Saccharomyces cerevisiae S288C: one gene and its partners. The protein of the gene in region 4 binds, or shares a complex with, the protein of the main gene of each other region. Each region holds a gene or a part of one and is shown on either strand. Other genes may lie near its edges. The genes, in order: RTC1, MTC5, SEH1 and SEA4. A codon is read from its position in the direction of its gene.

The links.
Region 1: the proteins of SEA4 (region 4) and RTC1 are in contact, whole or in part, in a cryo-EM structure (PDB 8ADL), measured with the Saccharomyces cerevisiae proteins. Residues at the interface, in NP_009446.2 of Saccharomyces cerevisiae: Lys842 (codon at 1,094), Glu845 (codon at 1,085), Phe847 (codon at 1,079), Ser848 (codon at 1,076), Arg850 (codon at 1,070), Ala851 (codon at 1,067), Arg852 (codon at 1,064), Asp854 (codon at 1,058), Val855 (codon at 1,055), Ser858 (codon at 1,046), Arg862 (codon at 1,034), Leu868 (codon at 1,016), Ile872 (codon at 1,004), Lys873 (codon at 1,001), Pro874 (codon at 998), Arg875 (codon at 995), Gln876 (codon at 992), Ile877 (codon at 989), Tyr878 (codon at 986), Ile879 (codon at 983), Gln880 (codon at 980), Gln882 (codon at 974), Gln886 (codon at 962), Asn887 (codon at 959), Tyr941 (codon at 797), Phe950 (codon at 770), Pro951 (codon at 767), Arg952 (codon at 764), Cys953 (codon at 761), Ala954 (codon at 758); in NP_014503.2 of Saccharomyces cerevisiae: Arg705 (codon at 4,492), His1212 (codon at 6,013), Glu1215 (codon at 6,022), Phe1217 (codon at 6,028), Gly1218 (codon at 6,031), Ala1221 (codon at 6,040), Asp1222 (codon at 6,043), Leu1224 (codon at 6,049), Lys1225 (codon at 6,052), Met1233 (codon at 6,076), Asp1238 (codon at 6,091), Gln1239 (codon at 6,094), Ser1240 (codon at 6,097), Ser1241 (codon at 6,100), Ile1242 (codon at 6,103), Arg1243 (codon at 6,106), Leu1244 (codon at 6,109), Phe1245 (codon at 6,112), Cys1246 (codon at 6,115), Glu1247 (codon at 6,118), Leu1252 (codon at 6,133), Phe1278 (codon at 6,211), Gly1279 (codon at 6,214), Tyr1280 (codon at 6,217), Trp1281 (codon at 6,220), Thr1291 (codon at 6,250), Ser1292 (codon at 6,253), Val1294 (codon at 6,259), Leu1295 (codon at 6,262), Cys1296 (codon at 6,265).
Region 2: the proteins of SEA4 (region 4) and MTC5 are in contact, whole or in part, in a cryo-EM structure (PDB 8ADL), measured with the Saccharomyces cerevisiae proteins. Residues at the interface, in NP_009446.2 of Saccharomyces cerevisiae: Arg838 (codon at 1,106), Lys842 (codon at 1,094), Phe847 (codon at 1,079), Ser848 (codon at 1,076), Arg850 (codon at 1,070), Ala851 (codon at 1,067), Arg852 (codon at 1,064), Asp854 (codon at 1,058), Val855 (codon at 1,055), Ser858 (codon at 1,046), Arg862 (codon at 1,034), Leu868 (codon at 1,016), Ile872 (codon at 1,004), Lys873 (codon at 1,001), Pro874 (codon at 998), Arg875 (codon at 995), Gln876 (codon at 992), Ile877 (codon at 989), Tyr878 (codon at 986), Ile879 (codon at 983), Gln880 (codon at 980), Cys881 (codon at 977), Gln882 (codon at 974), Asn887 (codon at 959), Asn889 (codon at 953), Pro891 (codon at 947), Pro951 (codon at 767), Arg952 (codon at 764), Cys953 (codon at 761), Ala954 (codon at 758); in NP_010413.3 of Saccharomyces cerevisiae: Leu795 (codon at 5,487), Met797 (codon at 5,493), Asp798 (codon at 5,496), Phe1038 (codon at 6,216), Pro1043 (codon at 6,231), Leu1044 (codon at 6,234), Arg1046 (codon at 6,240), Val1047 (codon at 6,243), Lys1048 (codon at 6,246), Lys1051 (codon at 6,255), Thr1054 (codon at 6,264), Pro1074 (codon at 6,324), Tyr1075 (codon at 6,327), Asn1076 (codon at 6,330), Gly1077 (codon at 6,333), Val1078 (codon at 6,336), Leu1079 (codon at 6,339), Thr1080 (codon at 6,342), His1081 (codon at 6,345), Trp1082 (codon at 6,348), Ile1083 (codon at 6,351), Asn1085 (codon at 6,357), Leu1094 (codon at 6,384), Ala1095 (codon at 6,387), Arg1096 (codon at 6,390), Asn1097 (codon at 6,393), Asn1099 (codon at 6,399), Tyr1100 (codon at 6,402), Cys1101 (codon at 6,405), Asp1102 (codon at 6,408).
Region 3: the proteins of SEA4 (region 4) and SEH1 are in contact, whole or in part, in a cryo-EM structure (PDB 8ADL), measured with the Saccharomyces cerevisiae proteins. Residues at the interface, in NP_009446.2 of Saccharomyces cerevisiae: Leu286 (codon at 2,762), Leu287 (codon at 2,759), Thr288 (codon at 2,756), Phe289 (codon at 2,753), Arg313 (codon at 2,681), Trp329 (codon at 2,633), Arg330 (codon at 2,630), Gly332 (codon at 2,624), Tyr333 (codon at 2,621), Tyr334 (codon at 2,618), Asp336 (codon at 2,612), Leu354 (codon at 2,558), Phe355 (codon at 2,555), Val356 (codon at 2,552), Ser357 (codon at 2,549), Ser358 (codon at 2,546), Val359 (codon at 2,543), His360 (codon at 2,540), Asp361 (codon at 2,537), Ser399 (codon at 2,423), Glu400 (codon at 2,420), Val401 (codon at 2,417), Cys402 (codon at 2,414), Ser403 (codon at 2,411), Lys404 (codon at 2,408), Ala405 (codon at 2,405), Ile406 (codon at 2,402), Leu407 (codon at 2,399), Asn408 (codon at 2,396), Asn409 (codon at 2,393); in NP_011415.1 of Saccharomyces cerevisiae: Met1 (codon at 2,219), Gln2 (codon at 2,216), Pro3 (codon at 2,213), Phe4 (codon at 2,210), Asp5 (codon at 2,207), Ser6 (codon at 2,204), Gly7 (codon at 2,201), His8 (codon at 2,198), Asp10 (codon at 2,192), Leu11 (codon at 2,189), Val12 (codon at 2,186), His13 (codon at 2,183), Asp14 (codon at 2,180), Val15 (codon at 2,177), Val16 (codon at 2,174), Tyr17 (codon at 2,171), Phe19 (codon at 2,165), Tyr20 (codon at 2,162), Gly21 (codon at 2,159), Arg22 (codon at 2,156), Val24 (codon at 2,150), Ser29 (codon at 2,135), Gln31 (codon at 2,129), Leu38 (codon at 2,108), Ser43 (codon at 2,093), Asn44 (codon at 2,090), Trp45 (codon at 2,087), Asp55 (codon at 2,057), Ser56 (codon at 2,054), Ser57 (codon at 2,051).

Annotation. Positions count from the first base shown.
Region 1 is NC_001147.6:59,674-67,729, reverse strand, and holds RTC1 (Rtc1p), read left to right. Parts: upstream 1-2,379; coding exon 2,380-6,405; downstream 6,406-8,056. Other genes in the region: PFK27 (6-phosphofructo-2-kinase), read left to right, coding at 1-169; BSC6 (Bsc6p), read right to left, coding at 616-2,109; CDC33 (translation initiation factor eIF4E), read left to right, coding at 6,706-7,347; ARG8 (acetylornithine transaminase), read right to left, coding at 7,700-8,056. UniProt on the Saccharomyces cerevisiae protein: Component of the SEA complex which coats the vacuolar membrane and is involved in intracellular trafficking, autophagy, response to nitrogen starvation, and amino acid biogenesis. May be involved in a process influencing telomere capping.
Region 2 is NC_001136.10:706,445-714,068, forward strand, and holds MTC5 (Mtc5p), read left to right. Parts: upstream 1-3,104; coding exon 3,105-6,551; downstream 6,552-7,624. Other genes in the region: ARO1 (pentafunctional protein ARO1p), read left to right, coding at 1-2,806; SAC6 (fimbrin), read right to left, coding at 6,896-7,624. UniProt on the Saccharomyces cerevisiae protein: Component of the SEA complex which coats the vacuolar membrane and is involved in intracellular trafficking, autophagy, response to nitrogen starvation, and amino acid biogenesis. May be involved in telomere capping.
Region 3 is NC_001139.9:310,628-315,452, reverse strand, and holds SEH1 (Seh1p), read right to left. Parts: upstream 2,220-4,825; coding exon 1,170-2,219; downstream 1-1,169. Other genes in the region: ribosome biogenesis GTPase LSG1, read right to left, coding at 1-822; YGK1 (5'-deoxynucleotidase), read right to left, coding at 2,613-3,260; 60S ribosomal protein uL15 RPL28, read right to left, coding at 3,526-3,926, 4,438-4,486. UniProt on the Saccharomyces cerevisiae protein: Functions as a component of the nuclear pore complex (NPC).
Region 4 is NC_001134.8:17,677-24,765, forward strand, and holds SEA4 (Sea4p), read right to left. Parts: upstream 3,618-7,089; coding exon 501-3,617; downstream 1-500. Other genes in the region: PKC1 (protein kinase C), read right to left, coding at 1-20; RTG3 (Rtg3p), read right to left, coding at 4,400-5,860; SFT2 (Sft2p), read left to right, coding at 6,422-7,069. UniProt on the Saccharomyces cerevisiae protein: Component of the SEA complex which coats the vacuolar membrane and is involved in intracellular trafficking, autophagy, response to nitrogen starvation, and amino acid biogenesis.

The DNA of each region.
Region 1 (8,056 bases), on a different chromosome or scaffold from region 4:
CAATCACTATTCTCAGATGTTTGGTTTTGAATACATCGAAGCTGTTAAATTGTTTTTTGAAAGTTTTGGAAATAGCTCAGAGGAAACTTTAACTACACTAGACTCTGTTGTTAATGATAAATTTTTTGATGATTTGCAGAGCCTAATTGAAAGCAACGGATTTGCTTGACTGATACTTTACCATACGGGAGTTGAATATCGGTACTCCTTTATTATATTTATGATCCTCTCCAGAACTCCATCTACCTCCCGCCTTTTAATGACCATTTTTACGACCTTTTCGCATGTTTTTCTATTCTTTTACAGTTTCCTTGGTACCGCTAGTTACATTATGTTATCTTGAAAAGGCTACTATACACTTTTTTTGCACTACTGAAGCAGCTTTCAAAAGCTCTTTATAGACTTCAGATAGTATTACTTTTTCCTTAAAATTCTATCTATTTGTAAACGACCAAGAGTGTCATTATGTATACTATATATCAAAAAGTTCCATATGTTGTCTGAAGTTCCTTTTATCTTCCGCCTTTCTATCTTTCTGTTACAATTATTCAACAGCTTTATTTTTCTAATTTTGGAATTAGTTGCAATGCACTGGCACCGATGGCGTTTCTGAAACTAAAAATATTCTTCATGCCCTTTTATGAATTTAGGATACAATGTCCATTCCAATGTAAATAACGCAACCATAATCCAACACAATAGTGGGATATACTGGATTCCCACTGTGTGTGCAATAACTCCAGCCAAATATGGAATGGCTGCACCACCACAACCACCAACGGCGACGGCAACCCCAACCCCGCTCACATGTAGTCTTTTGGGCAATACTTGTAATGCAACTATACTTGCGTTTGGGAATAATGGTCCGATAAACGTACCACAACAAAAAACAACAAAAAATAACACGACGAAATAGAAAACTGAGCTTGAATTGATCAACCCAACAAGCACAAATAAGGTGTATGAAGATAGAGTTAAAAAAGCGTACGCTTTGCTTGCTTTATACTCGTTTTCGAAGAATCTTTCAGTAACAAATCCTAGACACAACCTGCCTACAGTCAAACCTGTCCAAAACGATGCCGCTATGTATGACATAGCAACCTTATTACTTGATTTAGTTTCCAATAAATAACTAAAGAACCATGAACCAGTTGTAATTTCAGCACCTAAGTAAAGGAACAAATACAATGAGTACAAGAAAATAGCAGGATTTCTTAAAAGTTCAAAAAATCCTGGGCTCGCCTTGGTAGATTCCATCAGCGAGTTATCACCCGCTTCTTCCACATCATTGTTGCTTTCTTTGTTTTCCACAGAGCAGAGGTAGTCGTATTTACTTGCAGTTTCAAATTTAAAAGCTGGGAAGATTACAATCATGCCTATTATAGAAAAGAACAGAGGAATAAGGAAAAAAAGAGACCAATGACCCCATTCAACAAAATATGAAACTAAGGGAGGAGTAACCATAGCTGCTGCCCCGTAAAGACCATGCATGATACCCATGAGTTCATTCTTATGGACTAAAAGACTGCCCATTAAAACATTACCGGTAGAATCTAAGATGCCGATCCCTAAACCAAGAGGAAGGCCACAAAACATACAAACATAGAAACTAGAAGGTGCAGTTGCTAAAATGATAAGAAATACTATACACAAACCAGCTGCTAGAAGCATACCACCTCTCATACCAAAGTGCTTATTCAATCTCTCTTTTGATAAAGACGCCATCACATAACCACATAATTGGACTATAAATACGTTTGAGACATCTACCCGCGATATATGATAGTATTCAATTAGCGTAGGAAGTAGTGCACCTACTGTTTGATCGTTCATACCAAAGACTACGAACATAATCAAGCATGCTATCACCTGCAGCTTTACTAGTGGTACAGTTTGATAGTTTAGTGGATATGTTTTAACTTTCTCGCCCTGCCAGTCAATTTCTTTGATTAAGTTTGTATTGTTAGGTAGACTATCTTCATCTTGAGAATTTCTTCTGGAGTCTGATGATGATAGCAGATTTTTCAACTCTATTGGGTTATGATGTGAAATTTCAGTTGTATACATTCCATAATCATCTACCTTTGGTGGAACCGAGGAAGCATCCATGCTGAAAACTTATATATGGATTAAATTATACTATGAATCCCTAGGATCTTATTCTTGGTTTCTTACTATAGCATTTTAGAATACTGTTGAATGTCTAGCTATGCATGATCGGAGAGTTTAAATTTTTCTGTCTCGGAACGTTCTTTTTAATTTGTCAAAAACATCGATATATAACGATGATTACTGAAAAAGGAAAACCGATTGATAATACATATGGTGCGATTGCTGGCTGAAGGCGAGTGAGCTATTGAGTGGATTTAGTTGAAAATCATGAGCTTATCACCACACGTAGAAAATGCTTCCATTCCCAAGGGGAGTACCCCGATACCAAAAAACAGAAACGTTAGTTCTATAGGCAAGGGCGAGTTTCTTGGATCTTCGTCAAGCAACAATTCTTCTTTTCGAATGAATCATTACTCAAATAGTGGACAACCTTCCGTGTTAGATTCTATACGGCGACCTAATCTAACTCCAACTTTTTCTTACAGTAATGGGGTTTATATGCCTGAAAGTCACAGAACTAGTTCATTCAACGATAGTTATTTGCCATATGATAAGAATCCTTACGCAAAAACAACCGGAAGCATGAGCAATAAATCGAACATGAAAATCAAAACAAAGAAAAATGCAATCAACACAAATACAAGAAAGTCGTCTGGACTCATTTACACCACCAAAGTGGATAAAGAATTATCTAGTATAGACAAAGTGAATGATCCAAACATTAACGGTCTTGTTTGTGCAGGTAAAACTCATTTGGGGCTCTATAAATTCTCGCCCTCAGATAGATCTATCAAATGCGTTCATGATTTCATAACACCTAATAGCAACACCTCAACAAGGGGAACGACATCCCTTTTGCCCAAGCTGAGCAAAAGAACAAGACAGAACAAATTTAGTACCATTGCGGATGTTAAGACTGGATTTAATAATTACAAGAACTGTATTGCAGTGTGCAACAATTCTACGGCGATATCGATATATGATCTCAATAAGAGTTCCTCGATAGACAATCCCTTGATAACATCCTTATGCGAACACACTAGATCTATCAATAGTTTTGACTTCAACATGGTCGAATCAAACCTAATAATAAGTGGTGGACAAGATAGTTGTGTAAAAATATGGGATTTACGTTCCAATAAATCTAAAAGCTCAAATAGATCTGACATTAGTATAAATACCGCATCTGACTCAATCAGAGATGTAAAATGGATGCCCGGTTACAATTTTGCATCTAAGAACGATCAAGGTTCATCAACGTATGGTAATTTAAAAAGCGGTTACAAATTTGCTTCTATTCACGATTCGGGATACTTGCTAAAGTTTGATCTTCGACAACCTGCCCAATACGAAAAAAAATTAAATGCTCACACAGGACCCGGTCTTTGTTTAAATTGGCATCCCAATCAAGAATACATTGCTACAGGTGGTAGAGACGGTAAATGCTGCCTCTGGTTTGTTGGCGACAATGCCAATGCCGCCGAAAATACAGTCCTCAATTACGGGAACTCTCCCTCGTTACATGCCCCCAATACGTCCTTGAACAATAGCGGCTCGCTGGCATTTCCCAAACTAACAATTAATACGGGCTATCCAGTCACTAAATTGAAGTTCAAGCCTGCTTATAGTAGTAATATATATAATTCATTACTAGGAATATCGTCAATGGGTGACGAAGCTGAAGTTCGCATCTATTCCTTGGCAAGAAAGTACATTCCAAAACATGTTCTCCTATCAGAAACGCCTTCTTTAGGATTAGTATGGTGGGACGAAAACTTGATCTTTAATATCGATAAGGGGACCCGTATAAATGGCTGGGACATTAACAAAGAACCAACAGTGCTCGAAAATTTGAGCAAAAATACAACAACTTGGAGAGATTTGGATGGTAACGGTTTACTTTCAGTTGACCAAGAGATAGGCTCATATGAGGTGGTAGAACCGGAGCTTCAACCTACCTCAAGTACCACATGCAAGAAGCATCCAGGTACAATAAAAAACCCGAAGAATGGCAATCCAGAGAACCAGGGAATAATTGGAGGGATAAAAAAAGGATTTAGCCATACTGGATTAACAAGTTTTACGCCAGAGAGGCCGCCTACTTTAAAAGCAGGCCCAACGTTTAGCACAAAAAGCTTAACATTAGCATCTGGAGCATCTTCTTTTAACAGCTCTTCCGCATCATTGACATCCCTGACGCCACAAACTGAAAATAGAGAAGAAATCGCCATTGAACCGCCTTGTATCATCACTTTGGATATACCGCAGATCTTCAATAACATAAGATTAACCAAAATCGCACATTCAAGAAAAAAGAACGTCATTTCCGAAAGTTCTTCTATGAAAAATTCTCCAGTAGAAAAGTTCAAATATTTGGCGAGACAGCTCAAGTTTTCGTATATTCGAGAGCATAATGTTTCAGACAGTGCAGACACTGCATATAAAAATGATATAGAGAACATTGACGTCGTTAAAAACGCAACCGAAACACATGGTGATAATACTACTACTACCAATAATAATGATGATGGTGATGATGATGATGATGATGATGATGATGACAAAATAATCGAAAGTCACCTTTTGAAAAAATACAATTTTCCAGAAAATAATACATGGGCTACCTTAATGAATGAAAAAGTAAATAACAAAAAATCCAAAAGAAATTCCAGTAGTTCGAGGGAGTTTGACGAGAAGGATGTCAGATCAAGTATATCTTCCATTTCTGCAAGTAGGCAAAGTCATGACAGAGCTAGGAAGATCGACAAGAACGTGGAAGCAGAACTGCAAGAAAAAATACAAACACTGGTAGATTTGATATCTATTGCAACGCATAACGCATCTGTTTATCTATCCATAGATGATCTAACCAACTTCAAAATCTGGATCTTGATAAGAGATTCATTGTTATGGGACTTGAAGTGGATGACCTCCTCCCAAATTTCATCAGATAACGCATCTAATATGGATGCCAATGAAAGCTCCGATTTCGAAGCTGGAGAAAATCTGAAAACAGGAAAAGAGTTCCCAGAGGAGGATGGTGCAGGGACAAGTGGGGCTGAGTCGTTAGTTGAAGAAAGGCCGCAGGCATTTCGTGCTAACTCTGATGAACCAAGTGATGCCGAAAAGAAACCTGTTTCTAAGCTCAAAGAGCAGCTCAAAAACACGGAAATAATCCCCTATGCGCAGCCAAATGAGGATTCAGATGAAGTTTTAACTAAGCTAAAAGAGCTACAGAACCAACGCTTGGAGTCAAGGACTAAAATGGGAGAAACAGTGAGTGACGATGTGATTATAGAGGAAGACGAACATGAACATCAAGAAGAAGAACAGCCTCATGACTCACCGACTAAGTCAGCACAATTTCACGCGTCTCCTATCGCGAAAAGTATACCAATATTGCAGAAACGTGAGCACCGCAAGTCATTCATAGATACTTTCATGTTGCATTCTCCCAACGGTTACAATGGAGATACGGACATAGGTAACGAAGATGACAATATATCTCCTAGGTTTACTTACAACAGCGTAAGCCCACGCAGTAAGGTTTCGTCGCTACAAAGCTATGCCACAACAACCTCGCAACTAGAAACTTTTAAAAAGCTTTCTTCCCATACAGCACCAATAATCGGATCGCCCAGACATGCGCCATCACGGCCAGATAGCATTGGTAGGGAACAACTGTCTTCTTCATTGACGAAAAAGCTTGCCAAATGCAAGAAAATTATCGCTGACCCACCCTGGGACACGAAAAAACTCATCAAACAACTCTACAATCAAGCTACTGAGACTGGGAACGTCGTATTGACGGTGAATATTTTATTTCTTTTCCAAACGATATACCAAATAACAGAAATCGACATTGCAAAGGACGCAATCGCTCACTTCTTGTTATTATTACATCGATACGAACTCTTCGGCATTGCTGCAGACGTCTTAAAATACTGCCCATTCGAAGATATCATGGGTTCTGAGGGTGACCAATCTTCCATTCGGTTGTTTTGCGAACGCTGTGGTGAGTTAATCACTAACGAAAGTTCTAAAGAAAAGCTCAGAGCGGAAGCTCAGCAGACGGGCAATAAGAAGATCATGGACAAGTTTGGATACTGGTATTGTGACTCTTGTAAGAAGAAGAATACATCTTGTGTTCTATGTGAAAGACCATTAAAGAAACTGACCATGGTCATCCTCCCCTGTGGACACGAAGGTCACTTCCAGTGCATACAAGAATGGTTTCTCGATGAGAATGAACAAGAATGTCCCGGCGGTTGCCCCGGTGTTGCATTCATCTAGGTTCTCCACATAATGTATAGTTTAACATATCATCACCATTGTTTAGTTAAATCGTTTAGAGTAATATTACCCGTCAAAAAGGTCGGGTAAAATTTTATTACCCTCTCCGAAAAGAAAATTTTTTTCGTCGTCAATAGAGTTTAATGCAATACCTGATAAAGAGAGTTTTACATTGCAAGAGGTAGTGTTAATTCTGGATTTATATTGTACATATGTGTTTGTGTTAGTGCTTGAGTACTTCCTAGGAGTTTTACGAAAAATAAAAGCATTTTTGTCTGAAAACTAGTGAAAGGAAGAAAAATGTCCGTTGAAGAAGTTAGCAAGAAGTTTGAAGAAAACGTTTCAGTCGATGATACCACAGCTACTCCAAAGACTGTTTTAAGTGACAGTGCTCACTTCGATGTCAAGCACCCATTGAACACCAAATGGACTTTATGGTACACAAAGCCAGCCGTCGATAAATCTGAGTCGTGGTCTGATCTATTACGTCCCGTCACTTCATTCCAAACTGTTGAAGAATTTTGGGCTATCATTCAAAATATTCCTGAGCCACACGAACTACCATTGAAATCAGATTACCACGTCTTCCGTAATGACGTTAGACCTGAATGGGAAGATGAAGCCAATGCTAAAGGTGGTAAATGGTCTTTCCAACTTAGAGGAAAAGGTGCTGATATTGATGAATTATGGCTAAGAACTTTACTAGCAGTTATTGGTGAAACAATTGATGAAGACGACTCCCAAATTAACGGTGTCGTTTTAAGCATTAGAAAAGGTGGTAACAAGTTTGCCTTATGGACTAAATCTGAAGACAAAGAACCACTATTGAGAATTGGTGGTAAATTCAAGCAAGTTTTAAAATTAACCGATGACGGGCATTTGGAATTCTTTCCACATTCCAGTGCCAATGGTAGACACCCTCAACCATCAATCACCTTGTAAGATAGTCTGAATTTTTCTTAAGATAATTGTTATTTTAATCAAAATTATATATATAATCATAATATAATATATATACATTCTACTAGTTAGGATGCACGTATAAACTCATCATGTTAACACAGAAGGAAAAGTCAAAATGAAGGAGAAAAAAAAAAAAAAAAAAAAAAAAGAGAGGATGACGTTAAAAGGACAACTCTTATTAATTATATCATTCAAGGTATGAAAGACGCACCACATGTACATATCACGTAAGATGTTCCTATGTGTCTCTGACCGAATGGCATTTTTTATACTACAATATAAAGATGAAAAAAAAAAAAACAATCTATACATGACAATTTACAAAGTATATTTAAGCGTAAACCGCTTCAATAGCCTTTTCAAAAGCATCCATCCCTTCTTCGATTAGTTCGTCTTCAATCGTTAATGCGGGAACAAATCTAACGGTACTCTTACCAGCGGTAATGATCAAAAGTCCCAATTCTCTGGCCTTTTTGATGACCTCGGTGGGTGGTTCGACGAACTCAGCACCAAGCATCAAACCTTTTCCTCTGATAGTCTTTATTTGATTTGGATATTTGGCTTGAATTTCGCGCAAGCGCTTTTGTAAGATATCACTCTTCTTAGAGACTTGTTTCAAAAAAGCTTCGTCTGCTATGGTATCCAAAACATAGTTGCTTACAGAACAGGCCAGCGGATTACCACCATA
Region 2 (7,624 bases), on a different chromosome or scaffold from region 4:
TGATGCCTCAAGTGCTACATACCCATTGGCCTTCGCCGCAATGACTGGTACTACCGTAACGGTTCCAAACATTGGTTTTGAGTCGTTACAAGGTGATGCCAGATTTGCAAGAGATGTCTTGAAACCTATGGGTTGTAAAATAACTCAAACGGCAACTTCAACTACTGTTTCGGGTCCTCCTGTAGGTACTTTAAAGCCATTAAAACATGTTGATATGGAGCCAATGACTGATGCGTTCTTAACTGCATGTGTTGTTGCCGCTATTTCGCACGACAGTGATCCAAATTCTGCAAATACAACCACCATTGAAGGTATTGCAAACCAGCGTGTCAAAGAGTGTAACAGAATTTTGGCCATGGCTACAGAGCTCGCCAAATTTGGCGTCAAAACTACAGAATTACCAGATGGTATTCAAGTCCATGGTTTAAACTCGATAAAAGATTTGAAGGTTCCTTCCGACTCTTCTGGACCTGTCGGTGTATGCACATATGATGATCATCGTGTGGCCATGAGTTTCTCGCTTCTTGCAGGAATGGTAAATTCTCAAAATGAACGTGACGAAGTTGCTAATCCTGTAAGAATACTTGAAAGACATTGTACTGGTAAAACCTGGCCTGGCTGGTGGGATGTGTTACATTCCGAACTAGGTGCCAAATTAGATGGTGCAGAACCTTTAGAGTGCACATCCAAAAAGAACTCAAAGAAAAGCGTTGTCATTATTGGCATGAGAGCAGCTGGCAAAACTACTATAAGTAAATGGTGCGCATCCGCTCTGGGTTACAAATTAGTTGACCTAGACGAGCTGTTTGAGCAACAGCATAACAATCAAAGTGTTAAACAATTTGTTGTGGAGAACGGTTGGGAGAAGTTCCGTGAGGAAGAAACAAGAATTTTCAAGGAAGTTATTCAAAATTACGGCGATGATGGATATGTTTTCTCAACAGGTGGCGGTATTGTTGAAAGCGCTGAGTCTAGAAAAGCCTTAAAAGATTTTGCCTCATCAGGTGGATACGTTTTACACTTACATAGGGATATTGAGGAGACAATTGTCTTTTTACAAAGTGATCCTTCAAGACCTGCCTATGTGGAAGAAATTCGTGAAGTTTGGAACAGAAGGGAGGGGTGGTATAAAGAATGCTCAAATTTCTCTTTCTTTGCTCCTCATTGCTCCGCAGAAGCTGAGTTCCAAGCTCTAAGAAGATCGTTTAGTAAGTACATTGCAACCATTACAGGTGTCAGAGAAATAGAAATTCCAAGCGGAAGATCTGCCTTTGTGTGTTTAACCTTTGATGACTTAACTGAACAAACTGAGAATTTGACTCCAATCTGTTATGGTTGTGAGGCTGTAGAGGTCAGAGTAGACCATTTGGCTAATTACTCTGCTGATTTCGTGAGTAAACAGTTATCTATATTGCGTAAAGCCACTGACAGTATTCCTATCATTTTTACTGTGCGAACCATGAAGCAAGGTGGCAACTTTCCTGATGAAGAGTTCAAAACCTTGAGAGAGCTATACGATATTGCCTTGAAGAATGGTGTTGAATTCCTTGACTTAGAACTAACTTTACCTACTGATATCCAATATGAGGTTATTAACAAAAGGGGCAACACCAAGATCATTGGTTCCCATCATGACTTCCAAGGATTATACTCCTGGGACGACGCTGAATGGGAAAACAGATTCAATCAAGCGTTAACTCTTGATGTGGATGTTGTAAAATTTGTGGGTACGGCTGTTAATTTCGAAGATAATTTGAGACTGGAACACTTTAGGGATACACACAAGAATAAGCCTTTAATTGCAGTTAATATGACTTCTAAAGGTAGCATTTCTCGTGTTTTGAATAATGTTTTAACACCTGTGACATCAGATTTATTGCCTAACTCCGCTGCCCCTGGCCAATTGACAGTAGCACAAATTAACAAGATGTATACATCTATGGGAGGTATCGAGCCTAAGGAACTGTTTGTTGTTGGAAAGCCAATTGGCCACTCTAGATCGCCAATTTTACATAACACTGGCTATGAAATTTTAGGTTTACCTCACAAGTTCGATAAATTTGAAACTGAATCCGCACAATTGGTGAAAGAAAAACTTTTGGACGGAAACAAGAACTTTGGCGGTGCTGCAGTCACAATTCCTCTGAAATTAGATATAATGCAGTACATGGATGAATTGACTGATGCTGCTAAAGTTATTGGTGCTGTAAACACAGTTATACCATTGGGTAACAAGAAGTTTAAGGGTGATAATACCGACTGGTTAGGTATCCGTAATGCCTTAATTAACAATGGCGTTCCCGAATATGTTGGTCATACCGCTGGTTTGGTTATCGGTGCAGGTGGCACTTCTAGAGCCGCCCTTTACGCCTTGCACAGTTTAGGTTGCAAAAAGATCTTCATAATCAACAGGACAACTTCGAAATTGAAGCCATTAATAGAGTCACTTCCATCTGAATTCAACATTATTGGAATAGAGTCCACTAAATCTATAGAAGAGATTAAGGAACACGTTGGCGTTGCTGTCAGCTGTGTACCAGCCGACAAACCATTAGATGACGAACTTTTAAGTAAGCTGGAGAGATTCCTTGTGAAAGGTGCCCATGCTGCTTTTGTACCAACCTTATTGGAAGCCGCATACAAACCAAGCGTTACTCCCGTTATGACAATTTCACAAGACAAATATCAATGGCACGTTGTCCCTGGATCACAAATGTTAGTACACCAAGGTGTAGCTCAGTTTGAAAAGTGGACAGGATTCAAGGGCCCTTTCAAGGCCATTTTTGATGCCGTTACGAAAGAGTAGACAATAATATATCTATCCTTTTTTATATTTTACAATGCTTCTATGATATCTTTACTAAGTATGAGTTGCCAAATAGTCAGTGTGACTGCTTACATACGTTGAATTTCTGTATATTTTTACTAAGTTGCAACAGTTAGATAATTACAAGTTACCCTTACATTCTGTGGGATGTAGTCGAAGAACATCTCAGAGTAGGTCATCAAAAGATGCAAATCAGCTGAGCACCCCACTTTCAAAAACATTGTAAGATATTTGAGGGAAATCGCCTCTGGCCCGTTTATTCACTGAAGAATTAATTATGTGCAGTAGTATAAATGAAGGTCCGTATAATTCGCCCACTTTTGGAAAATCATTATCGTTGAAAGTAGATGGTGGGTTCAATGCCGTATCTATCAATCCCTCTGGTAGGGATATTGTTTTGGCCAGTCGGCAAGGTCTTTATATTATCGACCTGGATGATCCGTTTACACCTCCAAGGTGGTTGCATCATATTACGCCCTGGCAAGTTGCTGATGTACAATGGTCGCCACATCCCGCAAAACCATATTGGATAGTCTCGACATCGAATCAAAAGGCAATCATATGGAACTTAGCAAAATCTTCATCAAATGCCATTGAGTTTGTACTTCATGGGCACTCAAGAGCAATTACAGATATAAACTTCAATCCGCAACATCCGGATGTTTTAGCTACCTGTTCAGTCGATACGTATGTACATGCTTGGGATATGAGAAGTCCACATAGACCATTTTATTCGACAAGTTCATGGAGATCTGCTGCTTCTCAAGTGAAGTGGAATTACAAGGATCCTAACGTCTTGGCATCTTCACATGGAAATGATATATTTGTGTGGGATTTGAGAAAAGGCTCCACTCCCCTCTGTTCTTTGAAAGGCCATGTAAGCTCCGTAAATAGCATAGATTTTAACCGGTTCAAATATTCTGAAATTATGTCGAGTTCGAACGATGGGACGGTGAAGTTTTGGGATTATTCAAAAAGTACGACAGAATCAAAGAGAACTGTAACAACAAATTTTCCAATCTGGAGAGGACGTTACCTTCCTTTTGGAGAAGGTTATTGTATTATGCCAATGGTTGGAGGCAATAACGCAGTTTATCTGATTAATCTATGCGACGATGATGACAGTGAACAAAATAAGAAGACGAAACTCCAGCCAATATATGCATTTAAAGGGCATAGTGACCGAGTAATTGACTTTCTTTGGAGATCAAGACATACGTGCGATGGGGATTACGACGATCGTGAATTTCAATTGGTTACTTGGTCCAAAGACTGCGATTTAAAACTATGGCCAATTTCTGATAGTATTTATGGGAAAGTTAACTTTGACAGAGGCAAGAGACTTGAGGAGAAACTACCAGATTATGATTATTGCTCATACAATAAGGAACCTGAAAATAGGGAAAATGTTCAAAAGAATGAGTTTAGGCGTTTACGAGAAAACTTTGTGACAACTTCTGGATTGAAGAAAAACAAGACAAACCACATAACATGGCTCTCAGGAATTAGAATGAATAGCGCAACTTCACAAGAGGATTTATTCAATGAGACAAAAATCCAAAATTTAGGAGAGGAAGTAAGCGCCATTGGTCACAAGTTCCCAAAAGTCGTTTTTGAAAAGATATCCGTGTCCACAAGGGAATTGTGCCTGACGCTTAATGGCCCCTGGTCAGAGGAAAATCCTGATGATTATATATTCTTACGAATAAGTATTAATTTCCCTCTCAACTATCCAAACAAAGGGGACCCCCCCAAATTCACAATTGAAGAGAATTCAAATTTAACCATGAGTAAGAGACAAGAAATACTTTCCAATTTAGCAACAATTGGTCAAAAGTATACTGACTCAAATCTTTACTGCCTGGAGCCATGTATACGATTTGTTTTAGGTGAGAAGGTTAGCCTGGAGGACATCGAAGAAGGGCAAGAACCCTTATTAAATTTTGATATTGCAGATCACATAGATTTTGAAGAATTATCGTCACTGGATAGTTCATATTCCGATTCTCAAAACCCGGAAAACCTTTCTTCGCAATCAGATATAGAGTCATACAAGGAAGCACTGGTATTCCCAGATACTTCGAATCAAGGTTTGGATTTTGGAAGAAATTTAGCTCTTGATACGACACCTGTTCCAAATGGGTGTGGATCTTGTTGGACTGCAACAGGTGAACTCTTCTGCTTCTTTGCAAATGAGAAAAAACCCGAGAAAAAGCAAAATGCAATAATTAAACTCTCTCAAAAAGAAGCAGGGGTAGAGAAGCATCCTTTTAAAATTGAGCCTCAAGTTTTATATGATAAGGAAGTTGACAGCAGTGTAATCACCGCTGCTGATGAATTGAAAGCTCGCCCTAAGCGGTACGTGGACACCTTGGGGCTGGGAGGCGGTACTAATGGGGATTCAAGAACATACTTTGACGACGAGACATCTTCCGACGATTCATTTGATAGTGTCGCGGACGATTGGGACGATATATTGAGAAATGATATAATAGTGAGAACAAAAATTCCAATACTAAGAGGTAATTTTAAAGCTTTCAGCTCAGTACATTCGGAATCCGGGAAAACAGTAGAATCTACCAAAAAAAATAAGAATTTAGTGATTTCCAAAAATTTCAGCAGTTTATTAAGCGACCGCAAAGAACTAGCATTAGAATACTTATTTATGGATGCCACACCGGAAGGATTTGCTAGAAATAACGCTTTGGTGGCAGAAAAGTTTGACCTTGATGAAATTAGTCATTGTTGGCAAATATTATCTGATATGTTGATAGACCAAAGTGATTACGATCCTTATACTACTATATGGAATAACCATCCCATGGGGATAAAGTGGTTCATAAAGGAAGCGATTGTCTACTTTGAGAGGCAACAAAATTTACAGATGCTGGCCATGTTATGCTGTGTCATATTAAGCGCCAGGAGAAAAAAGATTCCAGCCAGATATTATGGGCAAGAATTAGAGAATATGGAAGGAACCATTGTGTTTAATGACAACGAAAGTCAAAACACATCATTTTGGAAAGGATCTGATGCTTTTTCCACCAGGTCTAGGAGTAGCACTGTTACACCAAATTTTTATGGTAATCATTTGAGAGGAAAAAACATTCATGGAGGAGACAACTCCTCAATAAGGTCCGACGACCACCACGCTAGGTTAAGGACGCACAACACTCTTAATGGTAGTAGTAAATTTACGGAGCCGGCCCAAAAGCAGGGCAGCCGTGCCATTTCATCCAGCCCTTTTCATAGTAGAATGCCTGACATCAAAGTCGAGCTTTTACATGACGATATTATAGAAGCTTATGAACAAGAAGACCTCTTACATTTAGAGGTATCAGACATACCAAAGTTCCAAACTTATATTTATCAATATTCAAAGTTACTTTTTAGATGGGGACTGCCTTTAGAAAGGGTCAAAATTCTAAAAGTTAGTACTGATTTCAGAAGTTCTTATAGTTCCCAAGGCATCCCCCCTAACAATAACAAGAAAAGTCCTTACAATGGTGTACTTACGCACTGGATCGAGAACAACGAGTTTGGAGAAGAAAAATTCCTAGCCCGAAATTGTAATTACTGTGATTTAAGAGTGACAAGAAGTAGCTTCATATGTGGAAATTGTCAACATGTTTTACACTCTTCGTGCGCGAGGATATGGTGGGAGATTGGTGATGAGTGCCCATCTGGATGTGGGTGCAATTGTCCGGAAATGTTCGATGCCTAAAAGCTTAACTATCACGTACATTTTCTGCATATTTCAAAGAACCTTGGATGTATATGAAAAAAAGTTCACAGGATATATGGCTTAATAAGTAGTTTATTTACGATTTTTTAATCCAGTAGAGGCATGATAGAAGACGACAACGGAATCATTGAGCGTTGGAGGCATTTTTACAATGGCTCAGTAATCACGAATAAAAGTAGGTGGAAGTTGAAATCTATTATTACATATTAAAAACTTCAGAAATACTTGAGGCTATATATTGTTGTACACTTAACCAATCGTATAACGGAGCATTGGAACAAGAAAGCTGAGTAGAAAACAGGTTACGAAAGTTGTTTGTTGGCTCATTTGTTCAAAGTCATTAACGAAGCGATAAAAGTAATAATTAATCTTGCACGAACTTCGTTGATATCTTCTGGCACCAACCAAATCAAAGCACCCAACTTTCTAGCAATAGAAATAGCCAATCTTGCGTTTGCGTACCTTTCTTCCTCGGTGTTACCAGGGGTGACTAGATCATAATCAACATAGCCCGGCGCGATACCATTCAGAACATCCAATAAGAAGTGGGCGTTTGATAAAGCTTGGTCCTTAAATGATCTAATGGTAGAGTTTTTACCACCTTTAGTTACCTGGTCTTGGGCCCACTTTAATATTTGAGAATCACTCATGTCTCTACCACTTGAGGATAATGTCTTCATGGTTATCGAAATATTTCTACGCATCAATTGCCACACTAACCCTAAGGTCAGTAATTTGTTACCATCTACAATATCAGATCCTTCGATACCAACCAAAGAAAATCCTTTGGCTCTGCCCAAGTCGACTGCATAGTTGGTGTTTTCTAAGGCTTTGAATCTGGATATCTCTGCACCCGAGGCCGGTCTTTTGTTGACATGTTTAAAATCAACAGCACCGGGCATCACCTTTTCGTAAGCTTGCAATAATATCAAACCATCCTTCAAATCATCAAACAGCGAAATGACAGGTGGATCAACGTCAAGAGAGTTCAACCATAAGGTAAAGACTCTTGCCTCTCTCTCACCTTCGGCGTCAAATTCTTCAATTTCAGG
Region 3 (4,825 bases), on a different chromosome or scaffold from region 4:
TTTCTCCAATAATTGATTAGCTCTCAATGCAGAGTAAAACGTGAACGAAATATTCTTGGAGATAAAGTACTTTGCCCAAGCGATACGTTGCTTTTTGGTCAATAAATCTGCTTTATTAACTAGCAGTAAGTTTGCTTTTCTGTCATCTGACTCTTTTACATATCTTTCTAAATCGACAGATCTAAACAGCAACGGATTCCTCGCATCTACAATTTGAACAACTAAATCTGATCTTTCAACAACTCTCCATAACTGTTTCCAAACTTCGATATTTCTTTCAAACGGTGTTAACAACAAGTCTTCATTGCTTTCTTGTAAATGTGCCAATTTTCTTCTCCATTCTAAAAACGCTTCCTTTTCTTGCCTATCAAGCTGAAACTTGGACATGCCCTCGTTCCATTCAGGCCTCCTTGGAACAATCAAATCCTTAGCAAGCGCTCTTTGCTTCGCATTAAGATTTCCACGCTGCTCATTAGTCATAGAAAACCCTTGAGATGTCGCAGAATCATTACCGCTATCCATTCTAATAATTTTAACATTTGAATGTCTATCGGCCGTGAAATCTTTGTCTGCCAGTGCAGCTGTACTCAAGAATTCATCTAAAGCTGATTCTTGAGTTACAGATCTTAATTTAACCCAGTTGGCCTCATGCTTATCGGTAGTGAACCTCATTTCACCATCAGGTAAATACTCGATGGCATTTTCTTTTTGACGTGCATATTTAATAGCTCTGCCTAATTCAAGCTTATTTTTATTTTTACGGTGGGTAGGTTTTGGCCCTTTTGGCGCCTTCCATTTCTTGGGAGCTTCTTTTGGTGGCATAGTTGGTGGGGGTCCTCAATATCAGATTTAGTTTTGTGTTTAAAAGAAGTTGGCTTATAAGCTCATCACCTCTTTATTAAGTAGTAGAATGCATTTTCATTGACAAATTTTTTAATCTCGGCATTGAAAAATTTCCAGGCGAAAAGGCGAGGGAAGGGAAGCTTGATATAATTCGAAAGAATACCCAATATCAAGAATAATAATATCATTTGATGTAATATCATTATATTTGTAAGAGCTTTTTAAAAGCATCATCTTTCTTGATTCATCTGTTGCCTCGTATTATACAGAATAATGCACACGTATAAAGTACCAATATATAATGTTATGTATACATATATTCTTATTTATTGTTGGGCAGTAATTACTGACATACACTTAAATTCATTTGAATAAGTGGCTTTCCATAAACGTACCTTCCCATCATCCCCAGCACTGCTTAAGATTGTACCCGTTAAATTCCAAGACACGGACCAAACTTCGCCATTATGGTCATCATGCTCGCTTAGAAGTTCAACTTGCAAGTTTGATTGTAGCTCAGCTTTCTCTTCGGTATTTGAGTCTGATCTGCCCTGTGCATCCATGTCAACATCAGCACTATTATCAAACATATTTGAGTTAGTTAAAGACTCCTCTGAGGCCAGGGGACTTAGTTTTTCTGTGATTTTGAAAATTCTAATTCTACCATCTTTGCAACCTGTTGCAATGAGTTGATACCATCTACCAATGGAAGGAGCCCAGCTGATACTTCTTATTAAACTTTTATGACCGGGAAGTTTTGCTGCAACGTGAAGTTTACCGTCTTTACCCCTTTGGTATATAATCGCTTGTTCCAATGCAGAGACTGCGAGCTTTTCAGGAGAAAATCTCGAAGGACACCAAGAGAGACAAAAATCAGACTGTAAATGATTTGCTGGTGGTATAGATAGCACTTTCATCTCAGAAGTCAGTGTCCATGACCTTAGGTCAGAAGGTTCTAAGGCATCATAAAGTCTGAGGATTCCATCGTTACCCAAACAAGCTAATTTTAAGCCCAAATGCGCTGGCGCAAATTTTACACTATAAAGTGATCCTTTGGAATCATTCAGGGTACACAGCTTGTTCCAACGACGGCCAGAGCATTCTTCTTGGTCGGGATCTTCTTCCCATAATTTTACCGTCTTATCGTAAGAGGCTGAAGCAATGATGCGCCCATATTCTGGACTGGCCCAATCAATGGCCACGATACTACTGTCGTGAGCTCTCCATGAGTCACTGAGTTCCCAATTACTCGTGTCCTTGTCTAATTTAAAAACTTTAATATGTTGATCAGAAGAGCATGTTGCCACATGTCTTCCGTAAAAGTCATAAACGACATCATGAACTAAATCATCATGCCCACTATCAAATGGTTGCATATTCAGAAATATTATTGGGTCGTTCTTCTTCTTCCTTAGTATCTCTTCAGAAGGGAAACCTTGTTTATAATTTGGTTTACTTGTCTCTATTCAGTTCATGATTTTTTCCATCGTTTTGCCGAAGACTTAACTAACAATAAATAAGAGAAACAGATATATTAAAACTTGGTTGATAATGCAGCACGCACATTCAATCGCGAATAATATACAAAAGATTATTTCTAAAGTTACATATAATGCACACCGGGTGCTGGAAGTATAATACATGCAAAATAAAATGGGCACTATCTCGTTGAAAAGCATCAAGATGTTATTATAAATGATACGCACCACCAGGTGAAGGTTTGAGAAAAGAAAAAAAAGCACTAACTTTTCTTTCAAAAGGCCACATTATTACTCCTTCAAACTGTCGAAAAAGGCTTGTCGATCTTCCAGTAAAGATTGTGTCCATTTTTTAACTTCATCAGTTTTTATATCATTGATGGCTCCCAAAAATTGTTTCAAATCCTTCTTGCCATTATACTTTTGTTCGTACTCAAAACATTGAACCAACATTTCATACTTATCAATATCTTTGACATATCTTCCTTCCAAACAGGTCTGCTTTTCGTATGCTAACCAGTCATCAAGAATTTCCCTAGATGCGCTTTCACTGCAGGGCCTTATTATGCTTTCACAGAGATACTTGACAGTTTCAAATTCTCTGCGATGTTTCTCTTCCTTTGTCATTGGGTCATTAGGTGTAATATCACCAACTAATGACTCCGCAAAATCGTGAACAAGTGCGATTCTGATACATTTGTTACGATCAACATTCTTGTCCGTAATCAGCATGGTAGTTAAACCCATTCTGTACATATGGTCAGATATACTTTCGCATGGGTCAATACCATGGTCAACCCAACCAGTTCTTCTTTGCGTTTTCAAAAGTTGTATAATATTCAAAAACGCTAACTGATAATTTGGGTGAGGTTTCGAAAGAATTGCCAAAATCTCCCTAGGTATATTATCTTCTGGCTTCCAGATGTTAACTGCAGTCATTTTGTTTTTCCTGGTCTTTACCTCGAATAGGTTTTCTTGTTTTGTTATTTGTTTTCTTTTTGGACCCTATGTTTATATATGGATTTTGAAAATCTTTTAAAAAAGCGATAAAAGCGTTGGGATCTGCCACTGGTAACTTCAAAATAGACAAGACGAAAAAACGGTGAAAATGGGTGATAGAAATAATACAGAAGTAGATGTTGAATTAGATTAAACTGAAGATATATAATTTATTGGAAAATACATAGAGTTTTTGTTGATGCGCTTAAGCGATCAATTCAACAACACCACCAGCAGCTCTGATTTTTTCTTCAGCCAACTTGGAGACGAATCTAGCTTTGACGATAACTGGAACATTTGGAATTCTACCCTTACCCAAGATCTTACCGTAACCGGCTGCCAAAGTGTCAATAACTGGAGCAGTTTCCTTAGAAGCAGATTTCAAGTATTGGTCTCTCTTGTCTTCTGGGATCAATGTCCACAATTTGTCCAAGTTCAAGACTGGCTTCCAGAAATGAGCTTGTTGCTTGTGGAAGTATCTCATACCAACCTTACCGAAATAACCTGGATGGTATTTATCCATGTTAATTCTGTGGTGATGTTGACCACCGGCCATACCTCTACCACCGGGGTGCTTTCTGTGCTTACCGATACGACCTTTACCGGCTGTACAAAAAAAATATTGTAATGAAATACAATTTTTAAATCGTTAGTAAAACAGGTTTTCAACTGGACATTTTATCGAAACAAAAGAAACGTGGTAACTCTTTTTCATAATTGCGCTCTCTACAACCATTTGATACAGCGATAATTAGTGCTTTCCATAATCTAAATGAAAGTTACCTTTTATAGCCGTAAAATGAGTAGACAGTATGACTGTTCTGAATATCATGGTATAATAAAGGAGAAGTATGACAAAGGCTATGCACACTTTCTTTTTGCTCAGTTTGCGATGGAAGAGTACATTTACTCGAGCTATTACCTCAAATAAGCCGTCTCAACAGTGAGATGGTAATACAAAGTTCGCAATCAAAACACAAAGAAATATGTTGAGTACACTTAGCTGATTGACATTCTCCTGTACCATGATATACACACGACATATTGGTTGCACAACACTAAAAAAAAAGTCACCGTCTTGGTTCTTTCATTCCCTCTTCCAAATGGAACTACATACCTGAGACGTGACCTCTGTGCTTTCTAGTCTTAGTGAATCTGGAAGGCATTCTTGATTAGTTGGATGATTGTTCTGGGATTTAATGCAAAAAAATCACTAAGAAGGAAAAAAATCAACGGAGAAAGCAAACGCCATCTTAAATATACGGGATACAGATGAAAGGTTTGAACCTATCTGGGAAAATACGCATTAAACAAGCGAAAAACTGCGAGGAAAATTGTTTGCGTCTCTGCGGGCTATTCACGCGCCAGAGGAAAAATAGGAAAAATAACAGGCATTAGAAAAATAATTTTGATTTTGGTAATGTGTGGGTCCCTGGTGTACAGATGTTACATTGGTTACAGTACTCTTGTTTTTGCTGTGTTTTTCGAAAGGGTTTCCTGGGAAC
Region 4 (7,089 bases):
TCCAATTGTGAAAAACTCATGACTGTAAACTGCTCCCTATATGTGTGATACTATACTTACTTTTCCTCGCTAGAGCTTCTCTCCGCAGCTACTGTTCTAGGTTTTATTCCTATTGATTATCTAATATAGTTTTAAAAATCTATACTGAAAGGGGATCGACGCTGAATACCTCTAACGTAAGTGTGGACGAGTGGTGGCAGAGACTTTTACAATGGTTAATAATCAGTCTCTACTCAGCCAAATTGAATAGCAGTGAAATCGTAGCTCTTTTACTGCTCCTGAACCTGTCGTATTACTTTCGATAGAGTAGATCAACTTTATTATCCACGCTTGTTAACTCTTTTCGTCGGTTTTTTTCGCCTTTAAAACTAGGCGGGCTGGGTAATGAAGATAGCAATGCCTCATAAATACAATGTTATACTAATTACGTTTTTTCTTTGGTTATGTATATATATTGTGAGAATAAAGAGAAGTTGCAAGATTTGGTTTATTGTACAATACTACTTATTACACTGGCAGGTGCAACCTGGAGTGGGACAAACATTATGTCTGTCAAACCATTCTTCAGCGTGACCGGCATGCATACCATGGTTGCAACTCAAACAGAAGCTGAACCACTCGTTCAACTTCAGTTTTCTACTTACGAGTTCGCGATTTGCACCATCTTGAGAGTCTTCTGTCTGCATTGGATCGCGTGATTGCGTCCCATTTATTACAAAAGGTAAGTTTGACGTTCCTAGAGGCATGAGACATATGGCACATCTTGGAAATGAAGACCCACAGTGTGGGCAACAATACTTATGTCTTGGCTTTTCATCAGCTGCTTGTGCTTCAGAACTTCCAGTATTAAATTTCTTGTAGTCAGCGTTATTTCTTCTATAGGCTTCACCATTTTTGTAATTTCCAGCACTAGTAGAGACGGCGCTAGAAGGTGAGGATGTGCGCGGAGTGTTGATGTTTTGTTTACAGTTTTGACATTGGATATATATTTGCCGGGGCTTTATGTCTGCAGTTAATACACCAGTTTTAGTTCTCGATAATTTTGATCTTAAAACATCGAACCTGGCTCGCATGGAGAATAATTCCCACGATTTAAGCATATCTCTATAAGTTTGTATCCATTCATCTACTCGTTGGTCGCGGAAATATCTAGGGGAGCCGAAAATTGATATCAGTGCGGCACTCTGAACATCGCTGGTTTTATTAACGTATGATTGCAGTAGATCGATACCATTAGGTGTTATTCCGGTGAGAATTAAACCTTCTAATTCGCCGTTTTCAATAACTGTAGATGAAGTTCTATCTAAGAAAGTGGTTAGGTCTGTATCATTCAAAAACCTTAGAGCTACCCCTAATCGTTCTCTCAAAGATATGGCAGGTTCATAAAGAATATCCCACCAATCATTGTCTGCGATAAAGGCGAAAATAACTCTCAAGTAAGGATCATCTAATTCGGAGGACATTTTTCTGCATTGCTGCCTCCATGCATTGTTACCTGGCAGATCCTTATACGCCAAGTAACCTGCAATAGCGGTGGCAATTAGTCTCAATCTTTCCTTTTTTGCAGATCCCAATATTTCTACAGCCTTTGGGATATCACCAAAAAATACCGCCCAAGCGGCAGCTTTTTCATAATGGCCGTTTTTCATAATTATGTTGTACTTGTCTTCATAATCAGATCTGGAAAGGTCCCATCCTGAGATAATTAAACAGAGTCTTCTCTGAACGTACTTTGGTGAACCAGCGGCATTGGCAATAGGACTGTTCCGATCCCTATTTTTCCTTCTTAGTTTGATGATTTTTTCCATTTCTTTATTTAGTTGTTTATCAGAAAGAATTGTCTCTTGTCTATATCTGTCTTGGTTCGATATTCCGTTTATACCATTCCAAATACCTATCACACCTTCGTAACCTAAGTCAAGATCACCAGAAACCATCGTACCATCGTCAACAGAAGCCTTTGCAATCGCGATCCACCTCCATGTGTTCCTTATATAAGCATTGTTTTGTAGATTTTTAGAAGAATCAATCATCTCTACCGTGTTCATTGGATCCAAACCATATCCCAATGAAGCTCGCGTCCTCATTATTACACTTATATCTTTTTCCAGAAGTTTTTCTGGCTTCCAGAACAGTTCAAATCCACGCTTACTGTCAAGGACATCATTACTCCCTTCATTTTCCTCTTCACTCAACTCGGAGTACTCAATTTCATTATTAGGTTCATCATGTCCAGACGGAAAGTAATCTTCGCTAACATCTAAATCCTCAAACGATAGATTCTTTAGGATTGTTTTTACATTCTCTAAGTTGGACTTTTCATGCTCATTGTTGACTCTAATTTCATCTATCTCAGTATTTTCAAAATTTGACAATAAGAGAGAGTTCCTATTATTGAGTATAGCCTTGGAGCATACCTCTGAAATTGGCATTCTGTATATTGTTCCCGATTGTCTCATACAGATTAGACTTGTTCCATTATTACTTCTTGGAATATAATCAAATGTAGCAACTCTATCGTACATCGTATTTGTGTCATGCACGGAAGAAACAAACAAATTCTCAATATTCATCTCGTTATCGTCATCTGCCGCAATATCACGATTGCTATCGCAGTAATAGCCTAACCTCCATCTTTTGATGGTATCACCTCTATGTAAGGTGGCAAATTCATTGTTCCTCACACATGACCACCTAAAGCAAGAGTTCATGTATTTCCTTGACGCTGCACCGGATCCAACCAATTTTTCAAAAGTTAATAAAGGGGAAGCTACATTTAAATCACCAAGTGAAGCTTGGTCAGATAATTTTCTCCTATCCCAAATAGCTAAGGTCCCATCATCCCCATAAGTACTAAATTGCCAATCGTTAAACGGGTTCAGTTTGATATCATACGTCAATCGTGTCGGATGTTGATAAATTGGGTTGGGGGATCTGACGTCAATTTCTTTCAAAAATTTCGTACTTGCAGCCAATACACTGGTATCGTTGAGGAACTTTAGGGATACTATGCTTTCATTTGTGCAATAACTAAACATTGGGTTGATAGTTTCATGCGAATCATCATGATAATTCATGTCCCAAATTTGTAAAGATGAATCATGCTTATTTCTGTCAAGACCCATTGCTATAAGACCATTCGTATTTATTCCCAGAGAGTTTATACACCGCTGCTTCTTTGCTCGTACACGTATATCATAATTGGTTTCTGAAACAGGGTACCCTTGGGTATCCTTTAAATTTGAGACAGATCCAACTATATTTTCCGCCTGAGCTGCCTTACCACCGCTGGCATTTGTCATAGAAGTCTCGTTATTGGCATTTAAGCCCACTGGCGCATGGCTCGCTGGCGATGAGGAATTTTGTCCAGAGATATTAAAAATCCTTAAATATCCATTCTTTTCACCAACTCCAATCATACCAATTTCTGATTCTGAATAGTCTAAGCAGGTGATACTGCCGAAGTCTTTCACAGTGTGTAATTTAATAATTGATTCATCAGATTCATTTTCCGGATCCACTTTATAGTGGGTCACTTCATCTCTTGTAGGGTTCACTGAAAGATAATCAATCAAATTATCATATGACCAATGGGTCACTTTTTTGATGAGACCCATGTTTATTCTTCTATACGTTCGTGATACTGCACTTACGACTACCAGTAACATCAGAATAACCATAGAGCTTATGCTATCTTGAAATATATCATCGCCGTAAAGTATGATGTGTAGCGCATTAGTCTTCTGCATTCATATTATCAGTGGTATACCGTTTGGTATATGCTTTCCAATCATGAAGTGTTGGCTCTACTCTATATAAATTCGACATCCATTGATTTTCTCAATAAATGAGTTACCCAAGTAAGCTTTCCATTGATACAAGTGATCTACATTCTTGCGACGCCAAATTATAAAGCACTAAAAATCATATCATACCCAATTGCGGGCAGCACATGTATATATTATACACTACTTATAACTAACCTTCTTCATATATAACAATATGCCTGATAATACTAATGCATTTAAATCATATCATGAAAGAAAATTACATGGGTTTTATTGACATAATTGCATTTAGAATACATAAAATTCTAAAGAATTAATATATCCAAAGTATTAGACATAACCAAGAATAATAGTGAATAATTTTAGATTTTGTTACATATAATTCTGCTTGCCTATCTCTTCCACTCTTTTCAAAACGTTGCATGTAAGCGTTACTAATATTCCGCTTTATTTTGTTGCAATTCCTAATTTTTTCATTACATTATCTTGCGAGTACGGAAGCGATTAACGTTCTCCCAATAGAAGGAACAAACATAGATATTGAAGTTTTACTGCTTTTGCTTACCTGACCTTTTTCAAATTTAATTTTTTCCCGCTAATAAGACCATAAACTACCCCGAACCAAATTCTAAAAGATAGTCAGCTGGATTAGAGTTGTCATCTCCAAACATTAATTTTGCATTATCTTCGGCTTCAATCAAATCGCCTGATAAGAACTCCTTTAATTCTTCATGAATGTTTGTATGTGGATGACTCTCCATAGTGCCAGCATGATTGTGGTTACCGACCGAATCATATAACGGTGGCTCCCAATTGTGCAATTCAGCCTTACTATTTTGTTCATTCATCAAAGCATTTGGGACAGATCTAATATCTATAATTCTTTCCTCACTATTCTCGCTATTATTTTGCCCCGAACTGGCATGGTGGTTATTGGTAAAAGGAGATAATGCTGCGACAGAACTTTTCTTCTCTTCCAATTCTTTTATCTTCGCCAATAACGCCTTCTTTTTTCGTGCTTGTATTTCTAAAATTTCGGCCAGGTATTGTAAATATTCGACCGTTCTATCCAAAATGATACCCTTATTTGGTTTGATTTGTTTACCTAGGTCATCGTAATTCAATAAAGATGGTGGAACCAACTGGCCGAGTTCTTTTATCTTTTGCTTTATTAATTCTCTTCTTCTCCTTTCGACGGCATTATGAAACTCTCTTTTGCGCCTCAGTTTCTCATCAGAAGTTAACCCGCCTAAAATCTTTGGAACACTTCCAGGTCCTATATTTTCAGTCATATTGCTACTTATTGAAGTGTGTCTTGTTCTGGGTGTGTTTATGCTACCATGCCTAAAAGAAGATGAAAGGAAACTTCCTGCACGAAATGACGATGATGGTGATCTTACCTTTGGGGAATATGTGGAAGATACGGATGCTGGGCCCAAGCTTTGTGGATTATAAGAAAATGATGATGAATATGTGTTTGGTGTCATCATATCAGAATTGATGCTAGAAGATAAAGAGGAGCTCAAATCATCAGTTAAGTTATACATTGTGTCATCGGTGCCATGCTGAAATAAAAAGTCATGTGGTAACTCAGCTTTTAAGCCTTCTTGTTGCTGTAATGGAGTATTCATTGCTCTATCCACAGGTGAGTCGTAAGCCATAGAATAAGATGATCTCAAGGGACCCTGCCCTATGGAAGATATGGAATTTTGAGTGACAGGTCTACCGCCTTGGCTTGTTCTAAACATATCATCCAGGTAAGACGATTGCGATTCTGCTTCCTCATATATGGTCGAAGCTGTAGGAGTTTGTGAATTGGACCTCGCTTGACTGCCCATTAAGTTATTATTATCGTTAGAGTTGTGCGTATTGATGTATGAGAGTTTTTCATGCTGTTGGGCAGGAGTCTCACCACCTGGGTAGGCACTTCCGTGTATCTTGTAATCATCATTGTGGTGTGGAGTGGGTGTCACTAACGAAAAATCTAAAGTTTCCTGGAGGACTTTTGTCTGGTTCATTAATTCGTCCAGTAGACGTTGGTTCTCAGCCTCACTTTCGTTATTGTTCATCATTCTTCACTTATTTAAGAAGTAGGTTCGCCTGACAAAAAATAAGAGTATTCTATTAAAGGATACTTGTCAACTAAGTAATGTGAATGCAGTAATGTCGTTTTTGTTATCTTATATATGCTCACGTAAGACAGAAATTCGGATTGTGAAAAATTCCTTGATGATTCCGTGCAGCCTCTAGCCAAAATAGCAACTGCGAGTAAAAAATAATGTACTAACCTGCAGTAATATTGGAGATCCTACTGTCCGGACCGAGTAGTACAATTGTTAGTTTCTGTTGCTCATAAGAAGGCTTTTCTAATCACCATGGCTTTATTATTTCAAAAGTAACTTGCGAAGAGTCACATCCCGCGGAACGGCCCGCAATCGTGACCCGGCAAAAGGCGATTGTAATGAAGAGGGAGTATTGGTCAAGACTTGTACTATACTGAAATAGGAAGAAGATTGAATAAATTTGCATTCTAATTGCGTTCGGTAGTTTAGAGTAGGACTTAGATTACCTGTATTGTCTGCAGTTGCGTTTTTTTTTTTTGCTGGTAAAAAAAAAGAACAAGTGTGGAGAATATGAGCGAGGAACCACCTTCTGACCAGGTCAATAGTCTCCGTGACTCATTGAATCGATGGAATCAAACAAGACAGCAGAACTCGCAGGGTTTTAATGAATCTGCGAAGACATTGTTCTCAAGCTGGGCGGATTCTCTCAATACCAGGGCCCAGGATATATATCAGACGTTGCCTGTATCTAGACAGGACTTGGTGCAAGACCAGGAGCCGTCGTGGTTCCAATTGTCAAGAACGGAAAGAATGGTACTTTTTGTCTGTTTTCTTTTGGGTGCAACAGCCTGTTTCACTCTTTGTACTTTCCTTTTCCCCGTTCTAGCCGCTAAACCAAGAAAGTTTGGTTTACTATGGACAATGGGGTCCCTACTATTTGTTCTTGCGTTTGGGGTACTTATGGGACCACTCGCGTACTTAAAACATTTGACTGCAAGGGAAAGGCTGCCTTTTTCGATGTTCTTTTTCGCCACATGCTTCATGACGATTTATTTCGCAGCCTTTTCCAAGAACACGGTGCTGACTATTACATGTGCTCTTCTTGAATTAGTTGCCGTCATTTATTATGCTATTTCATATTTCCCATTCGGTGCAACAGGTTTGAGGATGTTAAGCTCTGCTGGTGTCAATTCGGCAAGAGGTGTTCTGCGCATCTGAATTATCATTCATAGTGCATA